Arabidopsis thaliana: one gene and its partner. Changing the gene in region 2 together with the main gene of any one other region gives a genetic interaction. Each region holds a gene or a part of one and is shown on either strand. Other genes may lie near its edges. The genes, in order: SNC1 and MOS14.

Region 1 (17,406 bases), on a different chromosome or scaffold from region 2:
TTTTCAAACCTATAAGTCAAAATATTGAAAGACTCATAATACAAATAACAAAAATCTATGCCTATAATACACATTAAAAGTTATATTTAGGACCAAATAATTCATAATAAAAGACTCTATTATATATAATGAAGCAAAACAAAATTAAATTCTTTTATATGAGTGACATATTGAAATGATTTAGGATTTTTATTTTTCAAGTTTATCTTTTCTTAAATTTTAAGATTTTTTATATGAGAGTATTTGAGAAGCCATCATGTGCGACCTTTTATCTATATCCTTAATTATATTTGAAATTTAGGTTTAATTATATATTATATCAAGACAAAATAAAATGTGTCTTACGAAATATGAGACAAAATGTTTTATATATTTTGGGTAAACTGTTAATTTCAGTAAAGCAAGATTTATAAAAAGGATAATGATGTTTAAAAAAATAACTTTTTATACAATAGCGCATTAGATCAATGTCGAGTGGTGTGCTTGAAATACGGTTTATTATACCTAGGACGAATTTGTTGAGTCTCTTAAAAAGGGCATTGGTTTGTTTGTAAAGAAAGTGTAATAGCTTGATAAAATCTTGCATTTCTCTCAAACAATAGATGATGATGATGATGTGAAACAATGAAAGTGTGTAATTTAGAAGTTAGGAGATCATTTTAGTTTTTTCAATAACATAAAGGTCGTCAGTTGATTTTGAAAATCAGGACTTACCAATATATCAATTTTGTCGATTAAAAAACCAAATCTTGAGTAGATATTATTTATTGTGAAAGTAAAAATGTAATATGTCATATTGACATGCTAATTGAAACTTTAATTATATATTTATTAATAAATTATTTTACACCACATGAATTCATATAAATTATAACAAAAGAAAAACAAATTTAATGAGTTCAAAATCAACAAAACATATAACACTTATTTCAAGCTACCCATATTGTAGATGCTAATATAATTATATTCCATAATGAAATTGAAATTTTTATTCAAAACAAAATTAATTTGCTCTCTTTAACTGAGAGTAATTCCAAATATTTTTTGAAAGCTTTATAAACAACTAATTTATGTAATATGATATACACAATAAAAAATTTGTTTTTAAATAGCTAAAAATATTTCATTATGTAAATTTTAAAATTATTTCATATTTTATATTAATTTTAAACCCACGCACATTTTCTAGTTTTGCAATAATTATAAACACTCATAGAAATAGTGGAATAAATAAAACATACCCGTTCCGAAGATCCTCCCCGGCTAAATTTGATATATCTGTGAGAGCTTTAACCCATCTTTGTTTCTGATCCTCTGGTTTGTCCTCGCATGTCTTTTTAAAGACATCGCCAAAGCCACCGATCTGTTTTCTAACATGAGAAGGATCAACGCCGTAGAAAACCGGAATCACCATTTGTTCCCCTTTCTTGTAACACTTGTGGATCTCCACCAATTCATTCAAGCACCACGTTGAAGAAGCATAGTTCTCAGAGAAGATGACTATTGAGATCCTCGCTTCTCTAATGGCCGTTATAAGCGCATCGGCGATTATGCAGCTTCTCACGATGCCGTGATCCATGAATGTATTGATTGATCTGCGGTCGAGCGCCTCGATTAGATGGCTGAGGAACGTTTTGCGAACATCTACCCCACTGAAGCTTGGGAAAACGTCGTATCTCCGGCTACTAGGAGAAGAAGAAGAAGAAGCCATGGGAGACGATAGAGGGAACTCAGAGAAGAGACGAAGATTTTTAAGAGAAGTAAATCAGCAAGACATAGTGTGAGAAAGAGAGGAGAAACTTCGTCTTCCTTCCCTCCAAGACTTGCATAGAAGACTTACTGTACAAGATATTCTTTTAAGTGGCTAAAATCAAATCTCCTAACAAGACAATTGAGACGTAAATAATAAAGAAACTCGGCCCTTCCTTTCCTCGAAAGCTTTTTTACACTACATACAAAGATATTTTTGAAGATTGAATTTTTGTGGTTGTCACTGAATTATGATAAGTCTTAGTCTTTGTACAAGACAGAAATAATATTTCAATTTCTAGGCAAGTAGACAGAAACTTACATTCGTTTCCTCTACAAAGATATTTTGAAAACACAAATTTTGTGGTTATCAGTTGTCCTTGTATATAATGAAAGAATATGCGGAATTGTAGCAAAGAGTAAGAGAATTATGAAGAACAAGAGAGTTGGTATATGAGTGAGAATGACCAAATCATATTGATAGAATTAGTTAGTAACCTTTGTGTGTTTACAATGTATTTAAAGACACACAAAGGGAATATGACCGTTTACAATTAACGTAAGACTGAAAGAGACATGAGAGAAGAGGTTCCTTGGTCTTGATGGTGAGAGCGACTGGTCCTTGGTTGACCATGTCGCTAAAGACACTCGTGAGTCCTCTTCAACGGCTACAAGAGATATTTGTGCGCCTTCACTCTTTCTAGAAGCTCTCCATAGACTTCTCATGTGTTCGGCCCAACTCCTTGTAGCACATACCCAATACTAGGCCTTTCTCCTTATTTGTACGGATGAATCTCTTATTGAATCTTGATCAATATATAATATACGTATGAATTACCTGGACGCCTTCCCATAGCTTCTCAAGCTTGTTGTTACATCTCACTGTGAGGTCTTTGAGATGTTCTGGGCGAAATTTACTTGGATTACATCTCCTAAGGCAATCAAGATAACCGAGTCCAGGGAGATTCTTGTTCCATAAACAATCTGCTACCTCGATGTCAATTTCTCCTCTGAAACTGTGCATAATAATCTCAGGGAAATTTCTCAACTTGGGGCATCGTAGGAGATTGAGGTACTCAAGAGATTCCGAGTTGAGAGGAGTTGGAAAACTTTCTAGCACTTCGCATTTACAAAGATCTAGTCTCTCGAGGTTTGTGGCTAAAGAAAGATCTGGAATTTCTTTCAAATATTTGGAATTACGCAGAATCATCTTCTTTAGGCTTCCAAGTAACTGAAAACAAGGAAAGAGAGAATAACAGACGTTCGTAAACATTTCAAAAAATTCATTTAATTTTTTGAACAAATAAATCAATAAACATAACACATTTCTGTTTTCAAATTGACAACAAAAACAATAAAAAATTAGTACCTGAGTTCCATTCCACAGCTTCTCAAGGTCACTATCCTCCATTATGAGTTCAACCAGATACTCAGCCTTAAAATTAGAAGGCAAACGCTTCAATGGACAATAACGCCACCATAGGCATATGATGTTACTTGAAATCTGAGGGAAAAATCTCAAACTTGAGCTTCCATCACTATAATCCTGAGATGGAGACACATTCAAGAGATATTTTTGAAGATTGAATTTTTGTGGTTGTCACTGAATTATGATAAGTCTTTGTACAAGACAGAAATAATATTTCAAGTTCTAGGCAATTAGACAGAAACTTACGTTATTCGTTTCCTCTACACAGATATTTTGAAACACACAAATTTTGTGGTTGTCAGTTGTCCTTGTACAAGACAGTTTATCGTAAGAATGTACTTATGATTGTTTAATATCAAAGTCTTGTTTCCCAATACATACATGCACATGGATTAGGAGAATAAGTATATCGATTATGAGGATTTTAATTCAAATAATACAGTGAAAATACTAATTAACACTAACTCTCTAGTTTGCTAAATTACTCTTTTAGTTTTCAATAATTGTATTATTAGTTTAAAGTTTGGCTTACTGCGTCAGCAACCACTGTAGGCTGCGATTGCATTTGCTGTATTGTTTAAGGAGCATTTGGTTTCTAAGGGTTTCATGTACTGGATGGAAGAACTCGTGTCTGAGAACATCCTCTGCGCTGGTTCGTTGCCTCGGGTTAACGGTCAAACATCTATCCACGAAGTCAAGGAGCGGCCGTGGGATTGCGTCTAGAAACTCTCTGCGTTTGTGTTGAGTTCACACCATTTTCTCAACTCCAGCCCCTTCAACGTACAATTCTTGAAACAACAACACAAAAATCTATGTGCATTCAATTCATCTCTCACGATCATCTATCAAATCACTTTATCAGTAATTTACATTTTAAAGTTATATCATGTTCTGGACTAACAATGAAAACCATTTTATTTGAATCCATATGCTGGCGGCAAAGAAGAACAGAGCATTTGTATTATGTCACACAAATTCAGCAATCAAGTGAATGGAGAGTTTATAAGGGAGGTAAGATGAGATTTTACCTCAGGCAAAGAGGTTTCACTATTGTGCAGCTTGGCTACTTCCCATAAGTCTTCACTGCTTCGTAGTTACTCAATGTCCTTCACGTTCCTAGGAATCACAAGGTCGTTGTAAGACGGCAAGAAAGAAAAAAGAGTGGAATCGACTGATGGTGTATTATGTTTTTATTATTATTATTAGGTCATTGGTGCAATATCTGAAGCAAACCTGCACAAACCAATTCAGCTAAAAGAAGCACCAGAGAAATTAGCTTTCACATCCTAAATGTGACAATGACTAGCTCACTTGAGCTCAGGGTCGTGGTGGAGGTCGGTGAGTGGGACGGGTGGAAGCTGGTTTGTATGTATGGGGCTGTGGTGGTGGTGCGTTATGTTTTAATCACTGTTTTTTTACTGTGAGTGTAGGAAACGCCACGGTAGCAGTGATGCAATTGTTGCTGATGAGGTTGCTATTTAAAAATTTAGTTCCAACACTTTTTTGCTGTTGATAATTCTCTTGTGAAATACATTTTTCTTTACCAAATTTATTCATTGATTTAAAGAGAGAAAAATAACCTTTGGTAACATACACGTAGAGAGATATGTGTGTTTCAAAAGACAAGTGTGGAGAAAGTTTGAACCTTTAACTTGTTTCTTGCGGAATCTCTCACTATCACTCAAAGAAATTTGGATCTCTCGTGTGTTGACTTAGAAAAACGAATGAAGAAGAAATAGAAAGAGCACACACACACCATTTAACGAGTTCACGTTTCCAAACCGGAAACGCTACATCTCGCCGAGATTGTACTCGGAAATCCACTAGAAAGCTTGGTTTCGGTTACATAAACCCTAGAGGCGAACTGGACACTCCCAGCCGCCTCACCTAAACCCCCATCTAGCTCTCTTCTTGTTGTCTTTTAGGGTTCAGCTTGCCTCCTCTTTTATATGCAGGGTTCTCCTCTTTTTCTTCACCCTCGCATGCTCTGTTTTCCCGTACAGGGGAAGAAGACAAACAAAGCTTATGACTGAAGCAGAAGTTAATTACTCTTCTGTCCCTTGTCTATTTATGAGAAACACAACAGCTGTTTCTAGTGTGTTCTCAACTTCCCTTAGGTGAAACCTTCTTTGTAGACTAGAGTCTTTGGAAGCTTCTCTTCCCTGTAGAGTATCTTAACACTTAAGGCAAAACTCAACAACAAGACTGTTAAATTTACATCTTTTCAGGAAAGCGAATTTTTCAAAGAAGCAAAACAGAGAGAAGTAAGAACAGAGTGGTTCTGCTGTTCTGGACATGGAACCATAAAATTTTTCTAGTTGTCAGTACTCCATCATCTGCAGGAGAAAATGGCTTGTGTGAAAAACTAAGAAATAGTCTTGTCATTACCAGTATAGTCATGGTCGATCCCACGTTCATTACAAAACAGAGTTGTAATACGTTTCAGGTTGCCTTAACAATGTGATAAGCTGTGGAGACGGCTAAGGATCCAGGAAAGGAATGTTAACAATGTGAGTTCAGTCAAGGCAGATCTTTAACTGTTCAGGGTCAGCAGTGAAAGGTGTCGTCCCCATCAGACCACACGTCTATGTTAGGCCCTTGATGCAAAGATCTGAAGCAAATCAATTCAGTCAAGAACAGCCCCAGAGAATTAGCTTTCCATCCTAGATGTTCTAGTGAGTAGTTCAGGCCTACAACTTTAACTCTTTACGATACAATTAAAGAGTGCAGCGGCATGGGGGAACAGCAGCGACATGTATTCTCATCGACGTAGGATAGCTGGATGATACTTCATGGTTTGGAAGTGGACCAGACAATGTCTCCTGTAGAAAGTTTAAAAGCTCTTTCCTTCACCCGAAGGATTGTTCCTTATGCTGGTTACATCTTTGGCCGAAGTTAGGCCAAAAACGCTTCTGCCTTTTGGCTATTGAATCAGCGGATATGCAAATGTTGCTGATTCTTGTTGTTTTCTGTACCCAAAGTCTGATTTATTCATTGCTAATAAAGAGAAAAACAACCTTTACTAACATAAACCTTGACATCTATGTTTTAAAAAAGGCAAGACTATTTTGGGTAGTACCTGAGTTCAAGTAGGTACGCTCCCAAATTCAATGTGGAAATAGATAGATGTATGGTACAATACAAAACCATGCGAAAGATGTTTTTCCAGAATATGCTAAAGTGTGGCTTTCTGAAACATTTATTCTTTCAGGAAAAGCGAAATGTTCAAAACAAACGCAGAGTTGGATAATGTAATTAATTATCATTATCATTATCATTATAGTCATAGTCGATCCCAAGTTATCCTAAAACAGAGCAAAACAGAATGATAAGATGTTTCAGTTACCAGAAACAGGAAACAAGATAGGAATTCCTTTATCTTGTTCTTCAGTTATCATGTAATCAACACACAAAGCTTCCCCCTCTAGAGATGTTGATGATGATGGTTCTCCCTGCCCTAACGAAAGCTCCATATTTAGAGCGGCCAATCCTGTGTCCGCTACAATTAGGCCATAGGGTAAGTTGATATCTTCTTCAGATGTCCCCGATGTCATCTGCATTATAAATCAAACGATAGATTCTATTAAATAGTCTGTCCCTATGGTATTTCGATCCTGGAAAATCAAATCAAAAGTCAAAAGATACCCGCATCCGCTTCTCGCTTCTCGTAGTCTGTTGGTTGTTCTCTTCTTGAGAGACATACATGAGTCGTACACCGCATTCTTTGATCCTATTGGAGCAACAAAACTTAAACTCCACATCGTTGAAATTCAATTTAGATGGAAGATCTTCAGACCGGAACTTGAAGGAACAGAAAAACAGATGATCCGTCTTACAAAGCTCCAGTTCTGCATCTTTAGAAAATGATTTCTGATACTGTTTGCCATTGAAGCCAACGTTTACCTTCAAGAATGGATAAAAACCCTTGCCCTTGGAGAGAGGTTCAACCACGACGCAAGCCTTAAATCGCAAGAAATTTTGAGAAAGAGAGCTCTGAGGTACAATGACAGTTAGGGAATCTCCATAAGCTCGATACGTGAAATACTTAGGGATTTCTTCACCTGGTAAGGCCACAGGCTTGAAGCATGATCGTAGGATGAGCTCTCGCGCATCTCTATCCAATTTGAAGCAATTACGGAAGCTAAAATGTTCCTGGAGGTATGCAACACGATACAACTTATCCCAGATATATTCAATGTTTTCAGATAATGGTACACAAGAAACGTGGTCTTCCATTGTCGCTACCACAGTTGCATCACTCAACGCCTTGATGACACCTCTACAGTCTGTAAAGTCGGCGAGCTCAAGTCTTGTAAGTCTGAAAATGTTTGGGGAGATGGTTTTCAACCTCTGGCAACAATACATCATAAGTACAGTGAGCCTCGTGAAATCCTCAATGCAGCAGGGAACTTCTTCAATGGCGGTGTTTTGCAGATAGAGACATTCGATTCTAGTTGAAATCAGAGGAAAAGTTCTCAGACTTGAGCAACCACTGAGATCGAGGATCATAAGAGATGACAAGTTGACATCGGTCGGAAGAACCTCCAGCCCTGTGCATTCTTTCATTTCTAACTTCACCAATCTATGAAGATTCCCAATTGTAGAAGGGATTTCTTCAATGGCGGTGTTTTCCAGATAGAGCCATACAATATTAGTTGAAATCAGAGGAAAAGTTCTCAGACTTGAGCAACCACTGAGATCGAGGATCATAAGAGATGACAAGTTGACATCGATCGGAAGAACCTCCAGCCCTGTGCATTCTTTCATTTCAAAGCTCACCAATTTTTGGAGATTTCCTATAGTAGTAGGAAGTGTCACCAAACTTTTGCAATTGTTGAGTTTCAAATTCTTCAGATTAGTGGCCTTTGAAAGATCTGGAATTTCTTCAATGGCGGTGTTTTCCAGATAGAGCCATTTGATACTCTCTGAAATCAGAGGAAAACTTCTCAAACTTGAGCAACCACTGAGATCGAGGGTTTCGAGAGATGACAAGTTGACATCGGTCGGAAGAACCTCCAGCCCTGTGCATTTTTTCATTTCTAACCTCACCAATCTATGAAGATTCCCAATTGTAGAAGGAATTTCTTCAATGGCGGTGTTTTCCAGATAGAGCCATACAATATTAGTTGAAATCAGAGGAAAACTTCTCAAACTTGAGCAACCACTGAGATCGAGGGTTTCGAGAGATGACAAGTTGACATCGGTCGGAAGAACCTCCAGCCCTGTGCATTCTTTCATTTCCAACCTCACCAATCTATGAAGATTCCCAATTGTAGAAGGAAGTGTCACCAAACTTTTGCAGTTGTTGAGTATCAAAGACTCGAGCTTGGTGGCCTTTGAAAGATCTGGAATTTCTGTCAGGTTTTCAGATTCTGACAGATCCATCCCTTCGAGACTTCCAAGCGACTGAAAAAAACATTGGTATGCTTCAATCATTATCGATGATAATCATTTTAATTTTATACTGTATATGTTTAAAATTATAATTAAACATTATTATAAGACATAACCGTGGTAAGACATAACCGTGGATCACAAGCCATAATAACAAATTTGGGTATAGTTAATTAGTTATATAACAGAAGGTAAACAAAAATCAGCATAGCATTAACAATGTACCTGGATGCCTTCCCATAGCTTCTCATGCTTGTAGCCCCTCACATTGAGAAAAGCGAGTTGTTCTGGGCGAAATTCACAAGGCATACATCTCGTAAGGCAGTCGAGATAATCTAGTCCAGCAGGGAGATTCTTGTTCCAGAAACAATCTTCTACCACGATCTCATTTCTCCCTTCCGGAAAGTCAACGTCTGAACATCCCATTTTGATTGCTGGAAAGTTTCTCAAATTCGGGCATCCAGTGAGATTGAGGTACTCGAGAGATTCCAAGTTGAGATCGGTTGGAAAACTCTCTAGCTTTTTGCAATCACTCATATCTAAATAGATCAGTTTAGTGGCATTCTGAATCGAGGAAGGAAGTGTCACCAAAGATTTGCATCCAACAAGATCTAATTCCTCGAGGTTTATGGCTAAAGAAAGATCTGGAATTTCTTTCAAATTGTTGGAATACCTCAAATTCATCTCCTTGAGACTTCCAAGGGGCTGAAAACAAAATATGGAAAAAGAGAATACACACGTTCACAAATATACCACAGTTCTGTTCTAAAAACTGACAACTAATAAAATTTAGAATTCGTACCAGAGTTCCTTCCCACAGTTTCTCAAGCTTACTATACTTCATTATGAGGTTAACTAGATATTCCGCCTTAAAAGTAGATGGCAAAGACTTCAATGGACAATCATCCCAGTCTAGCAATCTGAGTTTAAGGGGCAAATAAACGAGGCTCTGAGGTAGATCCCCGTAATAACCAATTTCTAGATATTGCAGATTACGCATGCCTTTGAACGATTCTTTATCTATTAATAACGGCCTTGTCGAAAAATATTCCTCGAATGGCAAACGTATTCCAAGAAGAGTTTCTGTCCCCTGAAAAAAAATCCGAAGAAAACTAATATAATCTTAACAATCGCAACCCTTTTTAATTTTCTGACACATCAAAGCTACATTTTAATTACGCATGAGGCAACAATTGCTTAAGTTTATCAATCCCCAAATTACGATTATATTAATATAAAGTCATGCATTCAAACGGAGCTGCGAAAAAAACTTACAGTTTTCTCGGTCACTACTTCATGAATATCTTCAAAATTCGTCAGAAATCGACGTTTTCCAGGATTACCCTTGGACTTTGCACGATCAATTTCTCTACCCAATTTCTCTAGCAAATTGTGCATCTCTATATATCCATCCGGTGTAATACGTATGAGGGACTTCTCAGTCAACATTGTAAACCCAACATTATCTTTAAGTAAATCTTTGACGTAACTGACTTCAAAACCATTGAATAAACACGCGATGTAAAGGAACATATCTTGATCTTTTTGATGTAATCTATCGTAGCTGACTCTTAATGTTTTCATAATATCTCCGTTCAAACCATTTCGGAGCCTAGGCATCATCTCCATCCACCATTCTTTGGTCCTTCCCTTTAAAGACGAACCAAGGACACTAAGACCCAACGGAAGATTACCGGCAAGCTTCGCAACTTCAAATGCTAGTTCCTTAAAATCATCAGGTGGAGAGTCTTTCCCAAAAGCAGATCGGCATAACATCGTAAGAGCAAGATGTTCAGATGGGAACTCCACCTCATATATAAGGTCAATCTCATGAGCCTTGAGAAGTTGCCTATCTTGAGTGATCACAATTATTCTGCTTCCAGATCCAAACCATTCAGCTTTTCCCACCAAGGTCTTAAGAAACTCTAGACTATCCACATCATCAAGAAGGATAAGAACTTTCTGTTGCTTTAACCTTTGCTCCACCACACCAAAATGCTCTATCTTTATGTCCTTTTGACCTAAGATTTCCGAGAGAAGTTCTTTTTCCCACCTCAACTTCATGCCAGAGACGTCACTACCGCTGGTGCTTTTATATGTTATGAAAGCGCGATGGTGGAACTGGATAGAGAGTTTACTGTAAAGAGCTCTTCCTATGGTACTCTTACCAATCCCTGATTGTCCCCAAATCCCGACCATTATTCTAGCTTCCTTGGATTCCAAGCACAATACTGATTTTATTGCCTCTATATGATTTTCAATTCCGACTAAGTCGCCAAAATCATCCGATGGTGTCATAGTTTTTCTCAAAACATCCTCGGCAAGCTCTTCAATCATGGCTGCTTCACTAGGCCTAATAACAATAGTCAACTGTTTCATTAAAGAAGCAACGCAAAACAAAAAAATCACGAAGTCTATTCATTGAAATACCATTTCCGAAGATCATATCCGGCCATAACTGCAACAGCTGCTAGAGCTTGCTTCCAACTTTGTTTCTCATCCTCTGATTTAGCCTTGCATGTCTCTTCAAAGACCTTTCCAAATTCGCCGGTCTGTTTTTTAACTTCCGAAGCATCAACGTGGAAGAAAATCGGAATCACCATTTGATTCAAATTCGTATAACACTTGTGAATCTCCACCAATTCATTCAGGCACCAGGTGGATGAAGCATAGTTCTTAGAGAAGATAACGATTGCTATTCTCGATTCTTTTATTGCCGATAAAAGCTCCGGGCCGATTGAGCGGCTCCTCTCGATCTCATCATCTATGAATGTGATTGCTTTGCCCCTGAGCTCCTTGAGAAGATGGCTGAGGAATGAGTCACGGACATCTTCTCCACGAAAGCTTGGGAAAACGTCGTATCTCCGGCTGCCAGAAGAAGAAGCTATCTCCATATCATCATCTTTGGATGTATCCATCATTTCACGGTCGAGCTCGAGCTCCTTGACAAGATGGCCACGAAACAATTTGCCGAAATTTTCTCCACTGAAGCTCGCGAAAACATTGTATATCCATCTGAGAACATTGTATATCTATCTGAAGCAAGAAGACGCCATGGCAGAGGATGAGAGAGAAGAGACGAAATTTCTCAAAGGAAAACTCTTTGAAGTATATCAATAATACAACACAGTAACAGAGAGGAGAAACTTGGTCTTCCTTTCCTCGAAGACTTGTATAGAAGACTTACTATACAAGATATTGTTTTAGTGGTTAAAATCAAATCCCATTACAAGACAATTGGGACAAATAATACGTAAACTTGGTCTTCCTTTCTTAGAAGACTTGCATAGAAGACTTACTGTACAAGATATTTTTTTAGTGGTTGAAAAATCAAATCCCTAACAAGATAAGGCCATAATTATGTGATACAGAAACTTCCCCTTCCTTTCCTTGGAAAGCTTCTACTCTATAACGATAAGTCAATTTTGTGGCTATCAGTCGTCACTGAATTTATCTATGATGATGAGACGTAGCCATTCTACAAGATTTCAAGATAATTTCTAGGCAAAATAGACAGAAACTTCCTCGAGAGCTACTTTTCCTCTCCACAGATATTTTTGAAGACCCAAAATTTTGTGGCTGTCAGTGGTTCAAGACAGAAACAAGATTTCAATTTATTTTAACAATGTTAAGGTTCACTAATATCAAAAGTCTGGTTTTCCTATTCATACTGTACATACATGCATGGAAATTAGGAGAATAATTAGTATATCGATTATGAGGATTATAATTCAACTAATAATACAGTGAAAACACTAACAACAAACTATCTAGTTTTCTAGAGCTGTGTGGTGTGGACAGTGGAGAGAATATTTTCATGTAAAGTTTTCTTGTTTACATTTACAATTGTAATATTAGTTTAGAGTTTTGGCTTACTGTGTCAGCAACCACTGTAGGCTGCGATTGCATTTGCTGCCGTTTAAGGAGCATTTGGTTTCTAAGGGTAGGTTTCATGTACTGGATGGAAGAAGTCGTGCTTGAGAGCATCCTCTGCACTGATTCGCCGTCTCGGGTTAACGGTCAAACATCTATCAACGAGGTCAAGGAGCGACCATGGAATTGCATCTAGAAACTCCATGCGTTTTGGGTTGAGTTCGTACCATTTTCTCAACTCCATCCCTTTCAAGTACCTTGACTTGTACAATTCCTGAAACAACAACACAAAAATCAACCTGAACTCATCTCTCACGATCATCTATCTAATAATTTTGTCGGTAATTTACATTTTTAAGATATATAATGTTTTGGAACACAAAATGCTAACAATGAAAACCCTTTTGTGATATTTGAATCCAAATGCTGGCGGCAAAGAAGAACAGAACATGTATGTTATGTTCACACCAATGCAGTAATCAAATGAATGGAGAGTTTACAAGGGATGAAAGATGAGATTTTACCTCATGTAAAGAGGATTCACGGTTGTGCAGCTTGGCTACTTCCCATAATTCTTCACTGCCTCGTAGTTGCGCAATGTCCTTTATGTTCCTGGGAATGACAAGGTCGTTGTAAGACGGCAAGAAAGAAGAAAAAAGTGGAACCGAGTGATGGTGTATTCAGTCAAGTCAGATCTTAACTGTTCAGGGTCACCAGTGAGAGCTTTCCTTCCCATTATGAGGTATAACAAAGTAACTCCCGCAGAACACACGTCTTTTTTTAGGTCCTTGGTCCAAAGACCATTCAGCCGAGAACAGCCCTAGAGAATTAGCTTTTCCATCCCATCCTAGATGTGTTAATGAGTAGCTCAGGGAACAAGATATTTTCATATGGATTTAACTAGTATCAAGGGAAGTGATATATCTGCAGGAAAAATGGCTTGTGTCAAAACATATGAAATCGTCTTGCCATTATCATTATAGTCATGCTCGGTCCCAAGTTATCCTAAAACAGAGGAAAACCGAATAATAAGATGCTTCAGTTACCAGAACCAGAATTCAAGATAGGAATTTCTTCATCTTGTTGTTCACTTATCATGGAATCAACACACAAAGATTCCCCCTCCAGAGATGGATAAGAAGAAACTGATGATGCTTCTCCCTGCCCTAACGAAAGCTCCATATTTAGAGCGGTCAAGCTTGTGTCCGCTACAATTTGGACACAGGGTAAGTTGATATATTCTTCAGATGTTCCCGATGTCATCTGCATCGTAAACCAAAGGATCGATTCTGTTAAATAGTCTGTCACTAAGGTATTGATCCTGGAAAATATAATAAAACATCAAGAGATAGCTTTGCAATTTTCAGTTCTAATTATGTCAAAAGGCTTACCCGCATCCGCTTATTGCTTCTCGCAGTCTCTACAACATCACATTTTTCTCGAGACTGTTGGCTGTACTCTGTTTCAGAGCTTCCATCACTATCATCTGGAAATGGAGACACATTCAAGAGTCGTATACCACATTCTTTTATCCTCTTGGAGCAAGAAAAGTTAAACTCCACATCGTTGAAAGTCAATTTAGATGGAAGATCTTCAGGCTGGAAGTTGAAGGAACAGAAAACCAGATGATCCGTCTTACACAACCGCAGGTCTGCATCTTTAAAAAATGATTTGCAATACAGTGTCCCATTGAAGCCAGCATTTACCTCACAATATGGACCCCAACTCTTGCCCTCAGTTAGAAGGTCAACCACGATGCAAGCCTTAAAGCAAGAATACTTGAGAAAGAGAGCTCTAAGGTAAAGTGACAGTTAGGGAATCTCCATAAGCTCGATGTTGAAAATACGTTGGCACTTCTCCACCTGGTAAGGACATAGGCTTGAACAATGACCGTAAGATGAGTTCTCGCGCATCTCCATCCAATTTGCAGCAGTTCTGGAAGAGATAATGAAAGGCCCCGATCCGGACTACCTAAGTCCGGACGAGATCTCTCGACCCAAGTCACTAAGTGACTCGACCCAAGTCACTAAGTGACTCGACCCTAACCATTTATGAGGTTCATTCCCTAGTGTAATCCGTTTCATACAATTCTGTGATTCAATATATGAGACGAATAGAGTAAACAAACAATCGGATACTTTATTAATTAAGTAAAGGATTCGATACAACTTATGAGTTTGCATATAAGCTATTACAAGTAATTTAATCGATCCCTAGACTATCCGAAACTATCACCACCCATCATTCCGGCCTTGAGTCTCTCGCGCCTAAGCCAAGTCCTTCCCACTATCACCATTGGTTCCTGAAAGTCATAGAGCCATAAGTAATTTCATTTACTTAGTCATATGCAAGTCCATGCAATGCTCCATAGTCCTTACACTACTCGGATCCGCGGAGAGGATTCGGAGAAGGGAAGATCGCGCATAAGTCCGGCCGATTCTCGGTAGGTCAATTAAGACCCGCCGGTCCTCCGCCGAGCCGCGTCTCCGCCCCAGCCGATCCCTTGCCCGGACCGAGGCTTGTGTAGGTTGCACATGACCCGATTCTACCCAGCCCATTAGTCGTTCCTTTCAAGGAATCCCGACTCATTTAACGCATTCTAGAATCCTTAGACTCGAGGTCTAGGATTCCTTACCTTCCTTCACGATGTTCGGTCGATCCGACCCTTCTTCTTCCTTGCCGGCCACAGTCCGCCTACCGATTTCCTCCGATGATTTATTCTCCCGAAAGGGAGAGAGTTTAATGGTGAGTTTCCGGTATTTTCCGTGTGTTCTGCTGCCTCTAAAGGTCTTGGGCGCCCTCCCTTATATAAGGAGCGAATTGATGCTTCCCGAAGGATCACCTCCGTTCCTTGCACCTTTCCGAAGAGTTGCATCTCTCGGTCCGTAACTGCTCGCCCTTATCCACCCTTTGGGCGAGCACCCGTTCGACCGTAACCGCCCAAGTAACCGTCCGGGTAACCGCCCAGCTGGTCAGACAGTCGACCAGCTGCCTCGAGCTCAACCGTCACTCGCCCAGCTGCTCGAGCTGGACTGTCACTCAACCCGAGTAACCGTCACTCCTTCCAGCTGAGCTTGAGCTTCGGACGAGCTGACCCAGCTGATTCCTTTACGATCCTAGCTTAGCCCGCATGATTTCCCTTTGTCCGAGCTTATGGCCAACTCCTTCCCACTTGTCCGAGACTCCACCTTCTTTTCTCGGACCAAGTCCCAGCCAACGATCCTATTGAGGATCGCGGGCGTTACAAGTCTCCCCTTTGAATTGGATTCGACAAATCGAATCCAAGTTGATCTTTACCCATCTCCTTGAACCACTCCGGAAAATTGGCCTTCATCTTAGTCTCGGTTTCCCAAGTGTATTCTTCACGGCCTCCACAATTCCACAAGATTTTTAACAAATCCATTGATTTCCCCCGAGTCCCTTTCTTCATTTGGTCCATGATCCGTACCGGCCATGCTTCCACCGTCATGTTCTCCTTTAACCCAGGAGGTACATCTTCCATGCTTTCTTCTTGTTCACTTAAGCACTTCCGTAGTTGTGATACATGAAAGACATTGTGAAACGCGTCTAGTTTTGGAGGAAGGTCAAGTTTGTATGCCACCGCCCCTACTCGTTCGATCACTTTGTACGGGCCAACGTACCTTGGCCTTAACTTTTTCCTTGATGTGAATCGCCCTGCCCCTTTGTAGGTCATCGCCTTTAAATACACCAAGTCTCCCACTTGGAATTCTAATTCCTTTCGACGCTTGTTGGCGTAACTTTTCTGACGATCTTGGGCTTCCTTTAACTTGATTTTTAAGAACTTCATTTTCTTCGTGGTTTCATCCACGACCGCAGGTCCGAACAACCGACGTTCGCCCACTGGCGTCCAACACAACGGTGTTCTACCAGCTCGGCCATACAACGCCTCATAGGGAGACATACCAATACTAGCTTGAAAACTGTTATTGTACGCAAATTCTACTAACCTTAGATATTTCTCCCAGTTTCCTCCCCAATCCAAGACGCATGCCCTCAACATGTCCTCGAGGGTTTGAATCGTTCGTTCGGACTGTCCGTCCGTCTGTGGGTGATATGCAGTACTTAGATTCACTCGAGTCCCTAAGACCTTTTGAAAAGGCTTCCAAAATTTTGACGTGAACCTTGTGTCTCGGTCCGACACTATACTAACCGGAATCCCATGTAATCGCACGATCTCGTCTATGTACTTCTCGGCAATGATTTCGGCTGCATCCTTATCCGAGATTGCCATGAAGTGCGCAGACTTAGTCAATCGGTCTACTACAACCCATACCGCATTGTGTTTGGACTTGATCCCCGTCGGCAGTCCCGTGACGAAGTCCATCATTATATGGTCCCACTTCCATTCCGGTATAGGTAGGTTTTGTAACATTCCACTTGGTACTTGATGCTCTTCCTTGGCTACCCACCTGGCCACATCTTTCTTCATTCCTACCCAATGGTAGTATCTTTTAAGGTCGCGATACATCTTGTTCGACCCAGGATGGATCGAGAACTTCGATTGATGCGCTTCTTTTAGGATTTCCTCCTTCAACGCCTTATCGTTCGGCCCACATACTCGACCGTTCACCACGATAGTACCATTGTTCGAGCTTTGGTACTCGGTTTTATTGTTTTGTGCCCACCCTTTTATTTCTTCATCTCGTTCTTGAGCCGACCGGATCCTACTAAGTAGGTCGGCTTGATTGGCGGCTCTCAACCCTAAGGGTTCAACTTCCTTAGACAAAGCATTCAAATGCAATGTCCCCATCATGTTAACCAAATTCACTTGGTTCCTTTCCGCTTCCACTACCGTGCGCAGCCTGCTCAAAGCATCTACAACTTGGTTGGCCTTGCCCGGATGGTACGCTATGTTCAAGTCGTAATCCGCCACAAGTTTTATCCACCTTCTTTGCCTTAGATTTAACTCCGGCTGGGTGAATATGTATTTTAGGCTCTTG
Region 2 (14,364 bases):
ATAAATGTGGACAGTAGCGAAGACATCTAGACGCCAACAAAAAGCAGTCATCGGCTATATCTGGTCTCGCAGTGACTTCCTGTAAGAATATAAACAGAATCAGACACCACATCGGATATTAAAACTAAGAACTTGAAGATAGTATTTTACTATGTGAAATTCGTCAACCTTGATACTTGTCATAAGACATGTTGTATGTGCAAAGAGGGTTTCAATCAGGTTCTTCAAGTAGACAGCACACGATGGATCAGAACCAAAAATCTGCAAATCCCACAAAAATTAGAGTCTCTAAAGCTTTTCTATAAGCATTCCACTGAATGGAAAGAACACAAATTACCTTTATAACTTCACTGGATAAGTATAGAAAGCATGGCTGATGATGCTGCTGATAATGGAATTGAATCTTTTCCAGCATTTCTCCAATTGTATCAATTATGTATCTTCCAGAAGTACGTACCTACAATCATTGCCTTCTTTTAGTGAATTATCCTCTATCAAAATTGTCATCCGACATATAGTTTTAGATTTTCTCTTATGTTCATAGACATGGAATGTCTAGCAAACAAAACAATGGTGTTCAGGAATGTCCAGGAAGGAAGTAGGTAAAGAAAAAGGAAATGAATCTCACAGCATATTTGCATGCCCTGCATAGAGATTCCATAGTCCTCATGTCCCAAGGACGACTGCAGTAAAAACCATTTCAAAGTAAGAGGCCACATAAAAGCAATTTGAAGAGAACATGTTAATCATCATGCGCCTAGATTCACTTACGCATCAAAAATAACTCGGAAAATTGCCCAATGCTTATTAATCTCAGCAGCCACCGCTTCAGGGTGGTTCACATACCTAATGTGGTAGCATTTGTTAGTAACACTAAACAAAACACATGGAGATGTATCGCATCATTGAGATATTAATACACAAACCTGAAGAGGAAGGCAAATCGGTCAATATGAACAGTTAATTCACGTGCATGCTTCTTCTCCAAATCTTCTTTCGCCGCTTCCTGATTCACAGATTCACAGTTCCCATCATTATAAGTCTTGACAGTATATCAAACAACCATGCAAATAGTCAAGATGGCAAACCTCTAGAGGAGAGGCGGCTGAAAAGCATAATTTTTCAAGAGCGCCCTTGGCCTGATCTAAAGGCAGTTCGGTAACAACCATACTGCACAATCAAATTTTAGAGATGTCAATAACACACAAATGAGATCTAATCCATCATTCAGTTGAATCCATACCCTAAAGCTTCAACGAGATTTAGTGAATCCTCAGCAGAGACTTTATAACCACCACCGCCATTGATCGCCATACAATAGATATTAAACAAATCTTCAAAATACCCACAAAGATTTTTTCGGCAATCTACAATGAAACATTATTTAAACAGGCATCAGATATTTACAAAAGCAAATTTGTAACATTTTGAATCCAGTAAGAGAAAACGCCAAAACTAATATATGCATATCAGGTCAACAGAAAAACACCTTCCTGTATCTTTCATTTTGGGGAGAAGAGGAAAGAGGAAATTGATTAACAACAAGCAATCAACAATTACAGAACATTAGTTGTTAGATAGCTACAAGCTTTTATTTAGTATCAGTATGGTTTCACACCATATATCATGAAAAGTAATTTGAAAATCGCATTGACGTAAAAACAAAACTGGAAAACAGAATTCAGTCCAAGGAAAAGCATTCAACAAAATTCCAAATACTTGCCAGTATTGCAATGCACCCTATATGCTAGCAATTCAGTAGAGTCGAAGTCAGATCCGTTAGCGTAGGTTCCAGTCAGACCTTTCGACTAGCTGCCATCTTTGAAGTAGGTCAGTATGCACAATTCGATTGATTTTTACAGAGGTGAGAACTTCATACTTCCTAAGAGAAAACTAACAACCAAAATTTAATTTAGTTTGCAAGTGAAAGAGTTATAACTATTAAACTGATTTCCTGAATTTTTGTAGTCCATGAAACTATTTAGCCATGAAAAATCAAGATGAGAAACCTTCTCAACAGCCCTAAAAGACCGTTTTTTTTATATAAAAGGGGAGCTGGTTTAAATCAAAATCCAATGCTAAAGCCTAAAACCAAAATATCTTTGCCATGGTTTCTCATCCAGGAAACAACAAAGAAATAAGATAGCCAGATTTGTAGTGCGTTTTTGACATTATTGTATTGCAAACCAATTGATGACCAAAGTTTGTATACTAGTCCTTGTATGTTTGAAAATGATTTTGCAGAGAAGAATGTATACTTGTCATAATGTCAATGTTATGCTCAGAAAATAAAAAGAAGGGATCAAATTTGGAAGAGAGAATACAATACCGTCACAAGTATGTCTAAAAGCCAAAGCTGCAGCTGCTGCGCAATCTTCAGATGTGCCCATTCCACTCATAAGAATTCTAATGATTGATGGTAATATTGAAACACTGGCTGGTGCAGCATTAAGCCATTTTGAATATGCCCCAACAAGTAAGCATGCTGAAATCAAATAGGGAAGCAGATATCTTGCATTAAAGAAAAAGCTTCTTTCGCATAACTTGGAAGGTTTCTGTTGCGCATACACTAGTGGTTTCCACCAAGTAGCTATTCACCTTCTACATATAAAACTTAGAAAGAAAAGCTATTCACCTGTCTGAAGTAGTTGCGCTTGCTGAGGAAGATTTTGAAGCAACGCCATCACCTGAAAGCAGAATTTAAGAGAATGAAAATTCCACGCATGAGAGATAGAACGGAATCTAAAGCCATTCAAACTTTAAACACTCAAGACTTTATAAGACACGGACCTACAAGCCTTTCATCACACAAAAACAATATGGAAACCCATAATTCATAGGCAGTGAGAAAAAAAAAATAAAAAAATTTGGCAGCAGTAGCTTGGAGGAACTATGTATAATACAAACCTGGGGCATCACTTCAGCTTCAACAACCGAAACATAATTTGATATTGCCCATATACAGAACAAAATAGCTTCTGCTGGACGCCAATCTTGAAAATTGTTTCCTGTCTGGGCATTGGCCTAAGTACATATTTCACAAATGTCAAAGATGCTGAAATCCAAAAGGTAAATAAAATGTAACTGTTTGGTGCTGATAATCCTAATTGTGTTCTACCCTGATCGTATTTAACTTTTTCAGTATATAAAAATGCTGATTCAATATCTCCCAATGCTTATTTTGTATTTAATGATAGAACAGATATATGCATGGAGATCCAAAGCACAAACCTCAAGAAGCTTCATATAGAGAATCTTAAGAGTAGTATCCCCTCCCAGGATTAACGCTGCATCTATTAATACATCTGCAACAGCTGAAAATGTCACAAACTTCATCAGTGAAATTAGATAGACAGAGCAACATTCCAGAGAAGTAAACAAGAAAATGAGGTAATTGGTCCCATCAAAGATGATTGAGAGCACAATAAGAAGTACATATCAACAAAAGTATGAAGAATAGGTAAATCAAAAAGTGACGTTACGAGATACAGCACCATACCAAAGCTAAGTGACTAAAACAACCAAAAACCTCAGAAGAACAATACTTTATCTGCGTCAAGAAACAAGTGTAAAGGATTGAAACATAGGGAGAACAACAGTGCTAAGCAAACAAATTACGAAAATCTAAGGTCGCGCTGATCTATTTGGGAAGCTCTGAGGGGTACACTTATTCCTTAGCACACTTAACTCAAAAGATCTTGATCTAATGTAATATTGAGAACAAGTAATACACCGCTTTGATTACCATATCTAGTCTGCTTGAATTCCTTAAGGTCCTCATATGAGAGGCCTTGATAATCTTCAGGATACTGAACTCTGAAGCCAACCTGTGAAGGGAAACCAGTGTATAGGTGACATAAACTGCAGAGCATACAATAACCCATATGATTTTCTGTTTCCACCAAAAGATGATCGACCAAATAAACTTTAGAAATCAAGAATTTTTTCAAAGAGCAATATTAATTTAAGCATAAGTCACCCGAGCATGAGAATTCAATTTTGTCTCTCTGGATTAGAGCAAACCAATAGAAACGGCCTGGGTTCAACAACGAGCTTCAAATATTCTTGAAAGAGTAAAACATTAGAGTGGTATCTGATGACTCACTCACCAAAGATACAAGGCTCTGATAAGCTGGCTGAAAGATATGCAGTCTTCGGTTTCTCTCAACTTCAATGGATGCTTCACTACCCAATGAACTATAAGATTCCCTGAAGATTAAAAATCACACTCTCAGAATATGACCCTAGGAACACCCAAAAACATAGAAAAGGCTGAAGTTACCTCTTTGTCAACATAAGTTGAAGACTGTGCCAAAAGTTGAAGGTCATCGAGGCTATATCAAATTCTGGGTGTGCAGTAACTTCCAGCAGGGCATGCACAATAACCATTGGTTCATCTGAACCTAGAGGCCAGAAATAGTACCTTCAAACATATTAGATTACCAACTAAAGCATTTTGCGCACCAGAGGCCAAAAGCAATCAAGACACATGAACCAGAACACTTAAAATAACAAGACAGAGTAGCAGAAATGAGGCCGTATACCAGTAGCTATTAGTTCAACATATGAATCGCCTACGTCAGCGAATAATCGACCAATAGCTTTGACATCTTCTTCATCCTGAAAGAGAAATAATTCTAAGAATCAAAAGAAAGAAATACAAACATATGCCAAAAATTACAACACATTATGAGGGATATCTTTAGCCACATATCAAGTCATATAAACAGAATATAACCCTTTTAGCACTACAGTTTAATTAAATTAAACAAGGATAGGCCATTAGTTTCCTACTATTTGATGCATCTGATAACCTTTTCCCTTAATAGAGTCCACGAGCAACAGAATCATAGCCGTTCAAGCCAGAGACCAGTGAAACAGAAAATTTGTGAAATAATGAAGCTTAATATCAAGCAGATTCAGCCATCAACTTGTATCAATACCAAAGGTAAACAGTACCTTTGAAGAATCTCTTAGATGGGCCTGAAGACTTAAAATCTGAGGCACAATAACTTGAATCAAGGGTGTTTGTGCAGAAATACCACCAGAACTTGGTGATGCTGTGTGATGTATCAATTCAGAGATAACTGCGAAGTTGAAAATGAAGTTTCTCTATTAAAACTCTAATAATGAATTCTAAATTGAAGGAAACATTGGCTTGTAGGTTGAAAACTAATAGAAGGCTATTTTCTATTTGATAAAGAACAAAAAAATTCCTGCTCATTATAATGAAGGTGAAAAAACCATCTTAAGGCAATGCAGTATACACCCAACACACATCAAACACTAATTTCCAAAATTCAACAAGAAAAGCTTAATAACCAATTTCTAGAAGCTCAATTTGCAAATTCTCGAACTTCGCATATTCCAACTAAGAGATAACAGGTATGCTAGAAATTTCGCAGCTCCCATAGTGTTCCAATACCAGAAGATATCACAAAATAACTCATCCATAAATAGTCTCTATTCAGTAAAGATATTTCAATTTACGGGGAAAAATATATCAATGTGAAGTATCCCAAGACTCTAAAGGCCTATGTATATATTAGCTTTTCCAACTAGTATACCATTAACAGATGCCTCTGATAGTGGATCACAGTTCAAACTTGAGAGAGCTGCATGCACCAATGGATGACAGGCAAGCACTGTTCCAGGAATCCTGAAAAAGACCACCCCAAAGTTCACCAGTATACAGTTCAGTCAGTATCATCGTTGCTAAGTTGAATTGGTGAAAATAAAGAAGGATAGCAAGTAGAAACCAACAGCAACAAATCAGATAAACTTAGCTTTGTGTCTAAGATGATTCTATATAGGACAAAATCTATGACCCATATATTAAAACAATTTACAACCTGACGAACTCGCAATGAATATTTGTAATCTAGACGAGCTTTTGTTCTAAATAAAACTGGAGATAGAAAAGCAAAAGAAAAGAGCATACCCATGCCTAAGACGGAGCCAAGAAGCAAATGCCTCGAGAACCTGAAAAATCAAAATTACAGAACACAATTGACAATAAGTGACTTCTTGCAACACCAAAAACACTAGCTGGTCCAACACACAGGAACATGGGACATTTTTCAGAAGCTAACAATAATGCAAGAAGACATATTAAATTTTGGCAGGTGAGTGAAAACCTAAGATGTAATCAAGCTTTTACCTAAAACTAGCAAATATGTTTTGACAAGGCAAACATAGACTCTGACTGGTAAAGAAAGTAAAAACTAGTGGAAAGTAAAAAAACAGACATGCATCAGAAAACATAAAAAGAAGAAGGTTATTTTGATGTGTTATACAGAGGGATCATGGAAAGTGAATAACAAACTATGTACTGAACTATGTCACGACTCTATATTAAAGATAAGCTCTGACCTGTTCCTTAAGTTCGGATATTTTCAAACATGCTGATAAGATACTAAGTGCAGCTTCCATTTGAGAAGTAAGCTCTTTTTCGAATTGACGTCGTCGATCCGGACGAGCAGCTATTTTGTAGTTAAATGTTTCCTGGTCATAGCAAGAAGGACAATATAAGATCAAGACATCATATAACCATCTAGATTAAAGCTAAACATTCCTAAAGTGAATCAAGTTAATGAAAGGGAAAGGTCAAACGATGTGGTAGAGATTTGTGAAAAAATTAGAATCTTCATTTAGTTACAAATAAACTACCAACATTTTTTGCAAACAATACCATACAAAATATCAAGGTCTTGCCCAGCCAATACTTTAGGGATTGAAATAACACTCACAGAGTAACGTCGAATGCTACCTAAACATAGATATGGAAAAAGTAAAAAAGGAACAGAATATTCTCCAAATAGGTCTACCCAATTTGAGGTCAGTAATACCAGCATAAATAATAAGTAAGAAGATCCAAGTCAGACCAAAATAAGGCCTTTCATATCTATATAGCCGGATACATGAAGTCAAATTAATTACTGAGTGAGATGAACACTTAAACAAAGGAATAAAAAATACTCTACCTCGGGCAAAACTGTCAAGAGTTCCAAGAAACCAGGCACATATTCAGGATGCATATGCATCTCATCCCTAAGCCAGCTAATTATACCACCATCTCCCCAGTCTGCCGCAGGAACATGCACCGCCAAGGCAGCAACAGCAATGCTAATCTACAATATAAAATACTTAAATAAGATAACTCGACACAAAGTACATGACTTTATACGCACAACAGAAAATTCCACATATGCACTTACCTGGGTCCTAACTTTTGGAGGGCCCTTGTGGAACTTTTTTAACAATGTCTGCATTTGAGAAAATAATGAAAGTCAAAATTTTCCGGGAAGTAATTGTCCAATACCAAGAATAATAGGCCAGAAAGATGAAATCATAGTAAAACCTAGATCCCAGAATACTCTAGTTCAACTGAGTTTTCCTATTATGTTATTGCTCAAAGGAACAGACATACTAATGAATAACTCATGAAACCCTACAACTTTGGAAGAAATAGTTAATAGAACAAAGAATTACCGTTAATGATTGCCGTAGCTTCTGAAAAGCCCCAGGTGGTAGTTCTTCAAAATCTCGTTGAACCTTCGAGTGAGACAGACTAGATGTCACCAGAATGCTCCAAGATTGTGTGATAAATGAATAAGGATTTACAGAAACATTCAGGTGCATTTACCTTGCTTCGAAGGGTCTGAGAACAGAATATCAAAGTTTCCAAATTGCTAGAAGAATCATGAAGTAAATTATCCGCAACCTAGAAAACATACAACAGCACAGAGTAAGAAATATTGTAGAACTTCTCCATCAAAAAAAATCCTCTTCTCCGCAACAACAATCATGGGTCTAAAAGAAAAGAGCTCATATAAAACCTAGCTAATCGTTTCTCTAACAAGGTAAATCTATTCACACACCTTACACATACTTCTCAAACCAGCTACAGGAAAAAGTGCACAATTGAACTTAGATGTACTGAAAATTCGAGATTTCTGCTATGCATAAGCCTATATGACCTTAACAAGCGAATCGCTAATACAAATTGACTAAAGGATGAAAATTTATGCACTTATATAGTCTAAAGTAACTCAGAAATGAACTTAGACGTACTGAAATTTTGAGATTTCTGCTATGCATAAGCCTATATGACCTTAAAGAGCAAATCACTAATACAAATTGACTAAAGGATGAAACTTTATGCACCTATATGGTCTACAGTAGCTGAAAATCGAACATTAAACTCTAGCACAAGTGCTACAAAACAAGGAAGAACAAATCGAACCTAAACAAATCGAGATTAAATAATTGAAATCGAAAAGAAAAAACTCGCCTGCCAAGCATCGAGAGTTCCTTGGAAGTTCTGAAGCCAGCGATCAGCGTGCACACGCACTGTATCATCCGGGTGATGATACAGTGCGTTTAGGGCTTCTTTGACCGCGTTCTGATGCTCCATAGCTATGAATCTTTACGCGTTATTCGCTCGTACGGTCACCAAATCACGACCAGAGAGAAAGACCCAGATTGAGAAATAGAAGAATTTGCCCAACTGAAATTCGGGATTTTGTCAAATCGATTTCGCCCAACAAAAACAATAAAAATAAAAACTTTTTTTTTCCCTCTTTGTCAAAAAGGTTTTTTTTTGGCGCCCCTCAACTTGAGTGAGGAAGAGAGATAGAGATCGAATTTTGATCTGAAAGAGGATGAAGAAGAGAGAATCTCAGCCGTTAGATACAATTACTTTGACTTAAAGTCAAATCCTTCTTCTTTTATTTTGAAGACAGAAGTTGTTTACTTTTTTTCAGTTGTTGCAATAAATTGAAGACAACAAAAAAAACGTATCATTGATTCATCATAACATAAAGATTATACAAAGGACAAGATTTAAGACCAACATATGTTACTGAATCAATTGTTACAAGTTATATAATAGGACAATACAACAATGTTTTATAAAGTGTTAATCTCTCTGGTCACTCTCATATTCTATCTTATGATATAACAGCAAAATGATACACACGCATAGGATAAAAAATAAAGGGTTGCATTCATTTTTACTGCCTACAAAACACATCCATCAATCAGAGAAAGACTCTTTTTTATGTGGTTCGGTTAAAGTTCCCATCAACCTGCATATGGAGCCACTCCGGTTGAGATACTCGGGTTTCATTAGCTTCTTGTTGCTCGTATATTGTTCGATGAACGTCAATCGGTAAAGTCCCGAGCTGATACAACACACCAAGAGCTTTTAGATTTAGTAGCTTTGATTAAGAAAGATAAGATTTTTCTATGTTCTTTTAGATTTGGGACTTACATCACCGGAAGGAAAAACTCCTATTGTCGGACCAGTACTTGCACCCGAGTTAACAACTTCTAGCTTCATTGATAGAAACTGCAGACCAAACTCCATGCTTAGGCATGTATAATTGTAACATATAACAGAGAGGTGTTAACGACTTTTACCTCAACTTGCCGCTGCAATGACTGAATATAATTGATAATCTCATCGAGCACAAGGGCTTTTCCGATTATCTGATCAACAGAAATATCTTGTTGAATGTTTTTTAGGCTATAATAACATCATTCACAAGCAGGGACCAAAAGAACATGTACCTTATTACATCCTGGAATTATATCTTGAAGAGCTGTCATCTTCTCACTGATCTTTTCTCTTCTAGCCTGTCAAAGACAACATTGTGATTCTAATAAAAGGAACAGTTTTTGAGGATAAAATTTATGGTGATTTTAGCAGAAGAATTACTCGCTCTGCTAAACTATGCCGGTCAGTAGCTTGTCCTCTTCTTGCTCTCACATGAATATAATCCTTTGGTGGCTCAGGTTTGTTCTTCTGTTCCGTTGCTTTGCTTCCACCACCACCCGAACTTGTTTCGCCTTCAGGTCTCATCGAACCATCTCCATTTCCACTTTCAGATCCACACAGTTTTCTTTTCTTATCCCCTGATTCTTTCTATTAAAAAAGTAAACAGATGGAAAGCTTTAAGATCCTAAATCAAACTCTCAATCTAAGATCACTAAGTAAGCATTGACCATTCCAACATCTATCAAACTAATGGTCTTCAAGCTGAATCCAACTTAAGTCAAAAAGTCAATGGAGATAAGTCATCTAATCTATAAACTAATCCTTGATCCCTAAACCAAAGACTTAAACTTTGACTCATTGATTTTTAGATCACCACCAAGCTAAAGGATCTAGATTCAAACATTCAAAAGACCCAACAAATAAAAATCAGGACTTTTCAAAAATTGAAGTGCAAAATCTCACCAATTCATTACCACTGCTGCTGGAAGAAACCATCTTTGAAGAATCATCCTCAGAGTTCAAATCTCTAGTCTTTCTACTTCCCCAGCCAGCAGTTAGATCGGTGACTGTAGATTCCTCAGCCGCGGAGACGTCTTTATTGCCGGAATGTTCAGAGCGAGTAAAGACTCGACCGGAGTTAACAGCTAAACGGAGACCAGAGCGAACGGCGTCGTTTACAGGGAAAGGCCAAATCTCGGAGAGAGTGTAAGAAGAAGGATTAGCTGCAGAGAAGGAGGAATCGTTCACTAGTGGAGGGTCCATTTCCGATGATCGTAAAAAGGGTTGACCCAGATTTAGGACCCGGATCCGAGAAGTGAGGAACTTGATAGAAAAAAAGAAGGAAAAGGTTTGAGCTTTGCGAGGTCTTGTCTTGTTTATAGGGTTGTGTGTGAGGTGGACAAATAGAGAGAGAGATCGGAGAAGGTAAGACAGATGTGGGTAGTGATAATGCGCCACTAGTATGCAATGGAAGATGATTTATCACCAATACTTTCAGAAAATCTCATTAATTACACAGCTTACATCAAATATTTTGCCGTTTCTGTTATAAAAAAAATATTACAATGGTAAAATTTTCGTTTCGTTTAGAAACAAAATTGAATAGAAAAGATATATTATGGCGCAATAACCTAAATAATTTCTATCAAAAATAAAAAATAAAAATCTCACAATTATGTCTTTTAGTTATCCTTTGATTAAATTATTTTTTACTGTGAACAACTTTGGTAATTTTACTGTGAACAACTTAAATACACCAAAGGACAATGCATCTCTCTTAGAAAAAAATACATACTAGCAAAACCAAATCATGTTACTTTGGTAATTTCATTCTGACGTGTTTAAGGAAAAAACGTATATGTTTGGATTAAAAATTTGATCTTCGTACCATATGTCCATCCTAGTAAGTACTCGATCGCCTATGTTTACAATAATATTCACCAATTAGTGTTTTTTTATTTAACATAGATCTCCCACTTCATAGTCATATGTTTTATGAAAGTTAGTTGTGTAAAGTGAAGGGAACCACACACCGGTACGTAGGATACGATCGAGGATGTGACAATGGGCCATATATTTAAATTTTAAATGCTTAATCACAAAAGCCAAAATTCTAGCTAAATATATAAAACGCTAATATGAAGGATAGATGACATGTGTTTTAGTCTTTTTGTTTGCATGTCAACGTTCTTCACGTTAAATTTTTAAAAATTCAGAAGCTATAGTTTTATTATGTTCAATGTAGTTTTAGCCTTTTTGGTAGATGACATGTTCAAGGTAGTTGCGGAAAAATACAAGGAGCCAAGAGTGTCATTTTTCGTTTCGATGATTTCAACCTTCATTTGTTGTGTTTATTATAAAAGTTTGTATTTTTGAATGATGAATACAGAGATATCAAACGTTTTTAAGAATACAGTATATAACAAACAAAAAAGCTCTAAAACTATTCACTGAGTTAAAACTTTTAAAAGTCAATTCTATAGCATTGAATGCTCTAAATGTGTAGCAAGAAAATTGTTTAAAGACCAACAAATTAGAAATTGATGTTTTTCTGCAAAACTTTTTTAATTATTAATTTTATTATCGAATTAAGTGGAATATGTTTATATTTTGATGAAATAATGAAAAGGTGGAAAAGACAAGTGTAGAAAGAGAAGACACCTGGATGCAAAGGTGTCACACATGAAGCCCAATTCCTCTCTTTCCATTTTTCCCATAAAGCTTTTTTGCTCTACTCATCAAGATACCTCTAATAAAAAAACAAGAAACACTATTTTTTTGTTATCAATTTCTTCTGTTCATTTCAGTTTGGTCATGAAATTAAGAAAATTAATAGAGAGAAAAGTCAAAAATAAAAACATGAGCATAGGAGTACTATGTGACTTCATTGGTGATGGAATGACACAGTTGGCCGATTTAGCACCGACTAAGTAGACATTAATCAATAATAGTTTAAATTTCAAAATAAGAATCATATCTACTAAACAATCAAATACATATGATTCCATCTACTATTATTGTTTTTTTTTAATTTATAAATCATATAGTACTAATTAACTAATAATTTCACATTCTGTCTCGTGTAATCAAGACAACCTTTTCGATTTGTTTTTTTGGTCGATTTGCTTAACCTTAAAAATCTTATTACTTCAATTATAAGATTAAAATTCGACAAAAACATAACGTTTTTCCTTTTTATTCTACTGGTGGTGGAAATAATCATCTAGAATAATAAAATTACTTTAATTTGAAAAGATAAATCCAACGAATCTATAACTTTAATCGAAAACTAAATAAAATAAGGAAAAAGAGAAGATTTAAAAGCGAAGAAAAGATTCGAAAAAGAGAGAGAGAGAGATGGACCAAAACGGCGGTTTATTCAGACGTCAGCAGCACTAACTAAGAAAGAGGAGAGAGCTTTAACTCTTCCCCTTGCTGCTTCCTTCTCCAAATTCTCCTGACGCGTTTCTGTTCATCTTACGATTTTACACGTCTCTCTAAAGATTTAAATTTTCGACTTTACGTTTCTTTCGGGTTTTGAATTTTCTCACTAAAGATTTGTCTTTTCCATAGAAAGTTCTTGAATTTTCTCTCTTCGTGTTCAAAGGGTTTTTCAGAATTTATAGTAACCCACCAATCTACTGATTGTCTCCGTTCATCGTAATCTCTCAAGATTTGATTTTTATTTGTTTTTTGAAATTTTGAATTTTGAGATTCTGTTCCTCTTTGATCATCATCACTAGGGTTTTCTGTTTCCAGTTAAAAAAAAGTTTGGATTTTTCTTCGTATAATTTAGGAATGAGGAAGCCCAAGTTGTCAAAACTCGAGAGGTTAGAGAAATTCGACATTTTCGTTTCTCTAAGCAAGCAGAGATCGGTTCAGATACTAATGGCGGTTGGGTTACTCTACATGCTTCTTATCACATTCGAAATCCCTTTCGTCTTCAAAACCGGGCTTAGTTCTTTATCTCAGGATCCGTTAACCCGACCCGAGAAGCACAATAGTCAGAGAGAGTTACAAGAGAGACGAGCTCCGACTCGACCTTTAAAGAGTCTGCTTTACCAGGAATCACAATCGGAATCACCGGCTCAGGGTTTAAGAAGAAGGACTCGGATCCTTTCTAGTTTGAGATTCGACCCGGAAACGTTTAACCCGAGTAGCAAAGATGGGTCTGTGGAGCTTCATAAATCTGCTAAGGTAGCTTGGGAAGTTGGTCGAAAGATATGGGAAGAGCTTGAGTCTGGGAAAACGTTGAAAGCTTTGGAGAAGGAGAAGAAGAAGAAGATTGAGGAACATGGGACAAACTCGTGTTCTCTCTCTGTTTCCTTAACCGGGTCTGATCTTTTGAAACGTGGGAATATCATGGAGCTTCCATGTGGTTTAACTCTTGGGTCACATATTACAGTGGTTGGGAAGCCACGAGCTGCTCATTCGGAGAAGGACCCTAAGATATCGATGTTAAAGGAAGGAGATGAAGCTGTGAAGGTTTCACAGTTTAAGTTGGAGCTTCAGGGTTTGAAAGCAGTGGAAGGAGAAGAGCCACCTCGGATACTCCACTTGAATCCAAGGCTTAAGGGTGATTGGAGTGGTAAGCCTGTGATTGAGCAGAACACTTGCTATAGAATGCAATGGGGCTCAGCACAAAGATGTGAAGGATGGAGATCTAGGGATGATGAAGAGACTGGTTAGTGTAGATATGTTCAAAAGCATTTATCTTTCATCTGTTGTTTTTCTTGGTGTTTTTGTTGGGGATACTAATTAGTAAGAATGGTTGTAGTTGATGGTCAGGTTAAGTGCGAGAAATGGGCTCGGGATGATAGCATTACATCTAAAGAAGAAGAGTCTAGCAAGGCGGCTTCATGGTGGCTTAGTCGATTAATAGGTCGGAGCAAGAAAGTAACTGTTGAATGGCCATTTCCATTCACAGTTGACAAGCTTTTCGTGCTTACTCTTAGTGCTGGATTGGAAGGCTACCATGTTAGTGTCGATGGGAAGCATGTCACTTCCTTTCCATACCGAACTGTAAGTGATGTTTTGCCCTGGCTTAAACATGTTGTGGTTTGATTAGTGATTGGTGTGAACTG

Evidence for each region.
Region 1: of MOS14 (region 2) and SNC1, changing one suppresses a phenotype caused by changing the other (phenotypic suppression), as found in Arabidopsis thaliana (one study listed by BioGRID).

What each region holds. Positions count from the first base shown.
Region 1 is NC_003075.7:9,493,990-9,511,395, forward strand, and holds SNC1 (TIR-NBS-LRR class disease resistance protein), read right to left. Parts: upstream 11,842-17,406; 5' UTR 11,494-11,841; coding exon 11,003-11,493; exon of another isoform or gene 10,952-11,002; coding exon of another isoform or gene 10,926-10,951; coding exon 9,848-10,925; intron 9,663-9,847; coding exon 9,375-9,662; intron 9,278-9,374; coding exon 8,798-9,277; intron 8,585-8,797; coding exon 6,824-8,584; intron 6,733-6,823; coding exon 6,517-6,732; 3' UTR 6,282-6,516; downstream 1-6,281. Other genes in the region: RPP4 (Disease resistance protein (TIR-NBS-LRR class) family), read right to left, coding at 1,242-1,711; AT4G16880 (Leucine-rich repeat (LRR) family protein), read right to left, coding at 2,561-2,980, 3,119-3,160. UniProt on the Arabidopsis thaliana protein: Disease resistance protein of the TIR-NB-LRR-type. Part of the RPP5 locus that contains a cluster of several paralogous disease resistance (R) genes.
Region 2 is NC_003076.8:25,124,058-25,138,421, forward strand, and holds the start of MOS14 (ARM repeat superfamily protein), read right to left. Parts: upstream 8,660-14,364; 5' UTR 8,417-8,659; coding exon 8,294-8,416; intron 7,724-8,293; coding exon 7,646-7,723; intron 7,555-7,645; coding exon 7,492-7,554; intron 7,266-7,491; coding exon 7,218-7,265; intron 7,131-7,217; coding exon 6,984-7,130; intron 6,505-6,983; coding exon 6,373-6,504; intron 5,983-6,372; coding exon 5,942-5,982; intron 5,660-5,941; coding exon 5,568-5,659; intron 5,088-5,567; coding exon 4,960-5,087; intron 4,621-4,959; coding exon 4,545-4,620; intron 4,404-4,544; coding exon 4,283-4,403; intron 4,210-4,282; coding exon 4,110-4,209; intron 3,828-4,109; coding exon 3,746-3,827; intron 3,315-3,745; coding exon 3,232-3,314; intron 3,025-3,231; coding exon 2,908-3,024; intron 2,688-2,907; coding exon 2,636-2,687; intron 2,486-2,635; coding exon 2,330-2,485; intron 1,368-2,329; coding exon 1,244-1,367; intron 1,171-1,243; coding exon 1,089-1,170; intron 1,007-1,088; and 11 more. Other genes in the region: AT5G62610 (basic helix-loop-helix (bHLH) DNA-binding superfamily protein), read right to left, coding at 9,060-9,185, 9,275-9,352, 9,424-9,492, 9,574-9,639, 9,722-9,928, 10,244-10,543; AT5G62620 (Galactosyltransferase family protein), read left to right, coding at 13,079-13,964, 14,058-14,302. UniProt on the Arabidopsis thaliana protein: Functions as a nuclear import receptor for serine-arginine rich (SR) proteins. Regulates nuclear import of SR proteins that are required for proper splicing of the two resistance (R) genes SNC1 and RPS4, a crucial step for their functions in plant immunity.